Canis lupus familiaris: one gene and its partner. The protein of the gene in region 1 purifies or fractionates together with the protein of each later gene. This does not show direct contact. Links are inferred from orthologs where the notes say so. Each region holds a gene or a part of one and is shown in the gene's direction. Other genes may lie near its edges. The genes, in order: CDC42BPB and FAM167A.

Region 1 (3,807 bases):
AAGACACTTAACCGGCTGAGCCACCCAGGCACCCCTGACCCTGTGTCTCCTTAATGAAGTCCGTGAATGACACATGGTCACATGTTAATTGGGAAATTTCTGACTGTGGTCTCCTCTTCTTCATCTCCCAGACCCTGATCCCTTCTCACGCAGTGACCACTCTGTGTCACATGTCCACCATGCTCCTCCTTCCAGCTGACTTCCACTTGTCTGTCTGCACTTAGAATGGTAGAGAAGCATATGGTTCATGGGAGGGTGTTATTCCCCAGAGTAAGTGGAACTGCACCCAGCAGCGTGCAGTTGTGTAACTCATCTTTCCCACGAGTGTGTCTGGAGAGCCGAGTGCTAGCCCCACAGTTCTAGTGATGAGGAGGCCCAAAGTTTCAAGCTTAGAAGGCATTTGGCTTGATGCACTTAGATGCTTCATTTTCCTTTAACAAGGCATGGCCTCAGCCATAGACAGTGGCCTAGCTAGAGACAAGACACTTGACGTTGTTAGGCTTTGGGCTTGGATTCTTGCAGAGTAGACGGCCCTCTGGATTTTGTGTTGCTTTTTACAAATAGTCCTGTAGTATCTGTATCCCTGAGTAATAATCCTTCCTTTTGCTATGTCAGAGCTTTATACACTCCGTGTCCTGCATCTCCAGCCTGCTCCTCTCTTCAGCCTCACGTTTCGTTTCCTTGTTGATCGTGTTGTGATACTTCTGCCCTTCCAACAAGGGGCAGAGAGGCCCTTCCACTTAGGAACAGGGCTGCAGTTCATTTCTTGTGTGTCTCTTGGTCTCACATGCAAGTGCGGCTCTGGGTGCCAGCCTACCCCAAAATGAGGGCCCAGGCCAGTGCCCAGGAGCCTCCAGGAGGCACAGTTCCCCTGCCCAGCCCTCCTTGCTGTTTTTGGTAGCATGACCACTCACCAGAGAAAACATGTTGATTGATTTTCTGGCTCAAGCTCGATAGGTGGGTGTTAAGCTCTACTCTTTGGTTAACACCAGGAAGGAGCATATACACCTTAGAGTGAAATTGCGCATTTGCAGCTTCTCAAGGTCATGCCCAAGTTTATAAACTTGATCACGAGCAGATTGATCGTCTCTGCCCAGAGCCTGGATCTCACCTTCTTGGTTTTCCTCCTCCAGCCGAAAGCTCACCAGTTCAGCATCAAATCCTTCTCCAGCCCCACACAGTGTAGCCACTGCACGTCCCTGATGGTGGGGCTGATCCGGCAGGGCTACGCCTGCGAGGGTGAGTGTTAGCCGCATGCCATCTCAAGGGGAGCATTATTCCAAAGTCAGATGAGGCTGAAGCAGGAAGCCTAATGGTGAGCTAGCCGAGGGCAGGTTCTCTGTCTTTAGTTTTATAAACGCTCCGTAGAGGTTTAGAGGTTAGGGAGACACGGTCCAGAATCCTTGCCGCAGCGGGAGAGCCCAGTGCGGGGGGGCGGCCCAGGCTATCTGTGGGTTGTTGTTACTATAGAATGAAACACCCCCAGTTCTTCTGTAAAATCGGGAAGAGCAGAGAGTAAATAGAACTTTATGCTCTTCCACTGTTACATTATTTGAGGGTGAGCACCAGAATTTTGTCTCCTCATGTCATTGTTGGCCTCGTAACCACCTCTATGCTGTGCTGCTGCCCTGTGCTGGGTGCTGCACTCACATGGGCCACCGTGACCACCTCGGTGTGATGTGATTATCCACCTCACCAGTGAGCAGCCAGCTGAATTCACACACAATGACAAGTGACAGCCACTAGTCACGGGAAATTGCTCTGCAAAAGCAGCTTTGCGTGTTTCTATCTGGTAGAACCCTTTTTCCTTGTTTGCTGGCAGGCCTTCCAAGCGTCTGCTAGGACCCCCTGTATGTCTGCCCTGTTACACGCCTGCAGGTGGTTTGCTCTGCAGGCAATTTGGGGACTTAGCTATGGGGAGTGAGGCACGGCTCCTGGGGGAGCAGCAGCTCTGAGGCCACACCCCCAGTAAGGCCCCCACAGACAGGCTCCAGAGCAACTCGGTGCCAGAGTCCCAGGGCTTTGTGGGAACTGTTCCAGAAACAGGATGTTGGGACCATTCCCATGACACGTGGGCATGACCGAGAGGCCTCCTCTGTGGTAAACGCTCTCTGGCGGCTTCTGCTCTGGAGGAAGCAGGTTCTGATTATGGTGCTTCTTCACTTTCCCAGTGTGCTCATTTGCTTGCCATGTGTCCTGCAAAGAGAGTGCTCCCCAGGTGTGCCCCATCCCTCCTGAGCAGTCCAAGCGGCCGCTCGGTGTCGACGTGCAGAGAGGCATAGGAACAGCCTACAAGGGCTATGTCAAGGTAGGATGTGTAAAGATCTGGGTGGGGACAGACACTTTTGCCTCAGTTCTGCTCTCCCTGTCTCGGGACTGATAACCTACAGTCACTCCACACTGTTCTTGACAGTGACCTTTGTGGCTTTGTGAAGTTTGTGCTGGTCCCAGGAGCCTCCCCTCCTGGGCAGTAAGGCCGCGGCTGGCCTTTCTGGCCCAGTGGAACGTGGTCACTGTTAACTGTAGGTCCCAAAGCCTACTGGGGTGAAGAAAGGATGGCAGCGGGCTTACGCGGTGGTCTGTGACTGCAAGCTCTTTCTGTACGACCTGCCTGAAGGAAAATCCACCCAGCCTGGTGTCGTCGCCAGCCAGGTCCTGGACCTCAGGTCTGTCCTGTGTGTTCTGTCCTGTTCTGTGAGTTCTGAGTGACTTCTCTTTAGCCAAAATGTGAGTTTGTTGCTGGGTAATCCTTAACCTCATTTATACCTTCACTTCCTTAGTCAACAGAGTTTTAAAAACAGATGCTTGATGTGTGCACTAGAAACTTCCCTGCGTGGGTATTTTTGCACTCAGCAATTTGGCACAGGCATTTTAAGATGATTGCCTGCCCCAAGAACAGGTAGGAGATATCCCAGAAACACACTGCCAAGCCCAAGGAGTCAGCACCTGAACGTCCTGTGTGAAACAGAAATCTAGAGCCCTGGGCTTTGCCGCATGATGCCCTCCCTCACCACTTCACCTGTCATCACGTGCCTTCGCAGTATCCGACATATGGAGATGGCACAGTGTCTTCCCTCCCTCCTGGCTACCCTATGGTTAGCGTCCAGCTCTGTGTTTTCCCGTTGGTAAAATGGGCATGATTTCGTCATTAGGTCGGAGGTTAGTTGTGAAGATCAAAGCAGTTAATAGAAGGCACACGCTGAGCACAGGGCCTGATGTCCTGTCTGCCCATTGGCACCTGCCCCGGGCTAAGGACAGCAGGCTGCAGCGGGTGCTCCTGATGATGGTGTCAGGGACAGACATGTAGCTGAGTCACCTGCACTTCCAGATCCCTCAGGTGATCCCTCTTATTGGTCACTGGGCACAGGTGGGCCCTGGCCTGGTAGCAAAGAGCCCCCCAGCAGGCTGCCCTGGGGTGTGGTGTCAGGTGGAGCTCAGGATTCAGGGTGTCAGATATGGGCCTTGCACAGCTGTTTGCCCAGGTTGTGTCCCCTTCTTTAGAAGCCATTAACAAGCAGCCACTTGATCGTAGCCAAATATGGGCCTAATCAGCAATATGTTCGTAGCTGGAAGCGTCTGGCACGGGCCAGAATAGTGTGGCTCAGGGAAGAGGCTTTTGCTCTCACATCCCTCATCACTACACCTGCAGGGTCGAGTCTGTTGGCTTTGTCAGCATAAGGCACTCTTATCCAGGGGGAGGCTAGGGGCCTATCTTATATTCTGGAACGTAGAGCCGTGAAAGTGTCCTTTCTCATGAGATCCATAACACAGAGGGGTGGGGGACAGGCCTGTGTGCACATTCCTTTC
Region 2 (3,807 bases), on another chromosome or scaffold:
CTGGCACCTCAGCAAAAGAGGCAGTGCCTGGGAGGGGCTGCTAATAGGTCTTTAGATTCAGAGAGACTCTAAAATAGCCTGTGTAACCTTGAGAGTGCATTGAAAGCCCCTTGCGAGAACACCCCCACGTTTGCAGAGCTTGCTAAACCTGCAGAAAGTGGATACAAACCTTAGTTTGCCAATCCTCCCAAACCTAGGAGATTGGTATGATCACCCCCATTTTATAGGCAAGGAAACTGAGGCTCAGCAAGCCTGACAGGCCCTGCACCTACGCCATCTGATCTCTAGTCTAGTGTTCTAGCTCAGAACCAGTGGTTCTCAGCCCTGGCTGTTTCCTCACATCACCTGCGGAGCCTTAACGTCCCATCCCAAGTTGCTTGAATCAGAACCCCTTGGGAATGGAGCCTGGGAATCTATTTTTGTGAAGGTTCCTCTGGGGATTCCCATCTGGGTGGCTAGAGGTGAACAGTAGGTTTCTCTATTAGTTGGGGTAGACTATTCCTCCTCATTCCTCAGGGATGCCCTCAAATGGGCCAGGCTCAGAGCATGGGGAGGATGGCCAGACTTCCTCTGGTCAGATCGTGTTGCAGGCGGGGATTGTAGAAACAGTCCAGAAAGACAGAAAGTCCTGCTCTTCTTGAATATCTCCACTGCTCGGTGGGAGAGAAGCCCCAGAGCCTCCCCAGGGGGCCAAGTCTCTGTTTTTATTTTGCTCCCCACTCCCCGCATTCTCTGCCTCTTCATATGCCTGCCCACCAACACCCATGCCCAGTTCCTGTCACCCAAACAAGTCATCAGGACTCTTAGTTTTCGTTTTTCTCTTTGCAGAGATCATTTTAGGTATATAGAAATCAATAAAAATCTTCCCCTTCTCCTCTTCCACACCAACAGTGTACTCTCCAGACTATGAATGTTTTGGGTTTTCTCACCTAAGCTTTATCTTGGACATCTTTCCGTATGAATTCATGCTTTTTCAGCATGCCCTCAGCACACATTTTTTTTCAAGAGCCGGCTGAGAACCAAGGACTTCTCTCCTTGGTCCAAGTCAAACATCCCCAACTCTGATGTACCCATCTCCATCTCCACCTGCCTGGACTCTGTGGGCACAGGGATGGGGCTGGGAGGCTGGAGCTTCACTTGGACTTGGCCTGGGACTCGGAGTGATTTCTCTACCTGCCCTCAGACCCCCTCCCCAGAGGTGGGAAGGCCAAGTCACATCAGAAAGCCACAGCCCTTGTCCACGAGGCGCTGCGGTGCAGGCATTTTAGGTAAATGTGCGACCCATCTTTCTAGAATGGTGAGTCACAAACCTCGCTTGGTTTAACAATCCTCCTTGAGTGAGGTCGGCTCTTCCCTCAGCCGTTGCAGGTTTATTTGCTTCCTCCTCGGAAGCGTGAGGTAAGGTGTTGTTCTTGGAAGAAGCAGCTGAGAGTGCGCAGTAAGACCTGGAAGAGCCAGTGCCTGAAGAAGGGTGGGGGGGCTGTGCTGGGTGGGGTCAGCGGTCCCTGACCTGAGACCCATGGCACAACAGTGTCTGCCTGGGGACCCTCAGGTAGCTGTCGCTCGGAGGAGAGACCTGATCCTTCAGAATCAGACAACCCAGACTTGTCCTTGCTAATGGCCAAGAGCTCTCTGGTGAGTCATTCAACCTCTAAGAGCCTCAGGTTCCTCCCATGCAAAATGGGAACTCGGAGAAGTAACTACAGACTTGCCATGAGGATTGAATGTGATAATGGAGGTGGAATCATTTCAAAAGTGGTGAAACCCTGTAGAGAGCCCTGATTTATTCTTGACTTCTCTGCATTGGGTTAAGCCTTGAAATTGCCTCACTTCTAGTCCTGAGTGAACTATCCGCAGCCCTGTCACCTGACCTCTCTGAGCCTCAGTTTCCCCTCCTAAGGAGCTCAGGAATGTGGCAGGTCTGCCAGGGGCGGGATTAGTACTGACATCATTTGCATCCTTCCTGCAGGGCCTCCTACCAGCCGGCAGGCAGCTTCTCACCGCCTGCCCTTGCCCATGAGGGAGCTCAGTCCTGCTTCCCTGCCTCTCTCTGATCTGCCTGCACCTCCAGGACTGATCTTGGCAAATCTGCCCCCCCCAAAATTCCTGCTGACACTTGTCTGTTCCTGCCTTTTGTGAAGCATGGCACCCACAGGACTCCGGGAAGAATCTTAAACACTGAACCTCCACCACTGCTCCGGAGGGCACACTGTGTGGCTCGTCCACATCCTGGTCCCTGTCAGCTCCAGGGAGCTCCTCACATCCCAGCGATGCCCTCAGCAGCCTTGAACCCAGCTGGATGAGATCACTCCTGAGGGGGAACCAATCTTGCCACCCACCAAGATTCCCACACCGCCCCCCACCACCTCCCATGCCTGGCCGCCCCAGCAGACTCTAGGATGTCTGTGCCTCAGATCCAAGTAGAAGAAGTGGTTGGTGGGGAAGAAGAGCCAGCAGGAGCAGCCCTGCCTCCCGATGACCACCTGCGGAGCCTGAAGGCCCTCACCGAGAAACTGAGGCTGGAGACCCGGAGGCCTTCCTACTTGGAATGGCAAGCCAGGCTGGAAGAGCAGACATGGCCCTTCCCGAGGCCAGCTGCTGAGCAGGGGGAGTGTGGGCAGGAGGAGCCCTCATCCCCAAGGAGGGGGTCCAAGCAGCATCCCCCACCTAACAGGCGTGCCAGCCAGGATGCTGGGCCCCAGCCCACCGGCAAGCTGGAAGGCTTTGAAAGTATTGACGAAGCTATAGCCTGGCTCAGGAAGGAACTGGTAAGTGGCTGCCCCTCCAAGAATCCCCAGAAAAGGCATCTCTCTCTCTCCTCTGTCTGTCTCTCTTTATCTCTCCGCCTCTCCCCCAACCTCTATCCCTCCCAATTGGGCATCTGTCATTTCCCCCATTAAAGCAAGGGTAGACCTCATTACTGTGCGGTTACGTGAGGTCCACATGCCAATCAGCCCCTAGTCACAGGAGGAGGAGGAAGCCTGTGTGCCCCGACCTTCCCCAACGCCCTCCTTGCACAGAGTCTCATAGGTTTATTCCCGAAATGTGAAGGATGTTCCTGGAGTGTGATGTCCCTCCCCTCCAAAATGTTCTCACTGTCCATCCCACCTGCTAGGAGCCCTCCTCAGCAAGCTACTCTGCTCCACGGGAGTGGGGAGGGGGCGCTGTGCTGGAACCCTGGGGCTGTGGGGGGTAAGTACAGATGGGGCTGTGCAGGCCCAGAGCTGTGTGGCTGGAGGTTGCTCTACGTGGCTCAAGGTCAGCCCACAGTGCTCCCTTCATACTGAGCTGTGTGTAAGGAGCTGCTGTGAGGGCGGCGCGGTTGATGGGGCCTGAGAGCTTTGGGCTGGGTCTTGGAGGTTGAGTGAGAGTCTGCCCAGAAGTCAGCACCTGGAGGGGCATCTGGGGGAATGAGCATGAGTAACAGGTATGCTTGGGGAGGGGGAGGGCAGCAGCTTTCCTCCGCCCACGGGCACAGCAGGCTCCCATCAGTGGCATCTCTCAGCAGGTGGGAAAGAGAATAGGTGTTCAGAGTTTTGTGCCCATTGCCCAGGGGAGAATCACTGGTCCTGGGTATCGTGGCCCCTCGGCAAAGCCAGGCACGGTGCTAATGCTCCCCATGACCTCGACTCCTGTCCCTCCTCCTTACCTGTGGCCCAGGTAACACCTGCCCTGTCAGGCCACTCTGGACACAGGTGAGCCAGCACCAACAGCCAGCTGCCTTGGAGAGCCACTCATAACTGCTGTGTCAACAGGGTAGGCAGAGGCCTCCCTGGTTTGTTCTGCAAAATCACGAAATATAAATCC

Evidence for each region.
Region 2: the proteins of CDC42BPB (region 1) and FAM167A purify together in Homo sapiens (co-immunoprecipitation; 3 studies listed by BioGRID and IntAct, counting the BioPlex papers as one, with this or other methods). This does not show direct contact. The link is inferred for Canis lupus familiaris from reciprocal best matches to the Homo sapiens genes CDC42BPB and FAM167A.

Annotation. Positions count from the first base shown.
Region 1 is NC_049229.1:71,230,372-71,234,178, reverse strand, and holds part of CDC42BPB (serine/threonine-protein kinase MRCK beta), read left to right. Parts: intron 1-1,133; coding exon 1,134-1,239; intron 1,240-2,171; coding exon 2,172-2,308; intron 2,309-2,526; coding exon 2,527-2,666; intron 2,667-3,807. UniProt on the Homo sapiens protein: Serine/threonine-protein kinase which is an important downstream effector of CDC42 and plays a role in the regulation of cytoskeleton reorganization and cell migration. Regulates actin cytoskeletal reorganization via phosphorylation of PPP1R12C and MYL9/MLC2.
Region 2 is NC_049246.1:26,612,537-26,616,343, forward strand, and holds part of FAM167A (protein FAM167A), read left to right. Parts: intron 1-1,969; 5' UTR 1,970-2,399; coding exon 2,400-2,768; intron 2,769-3,807.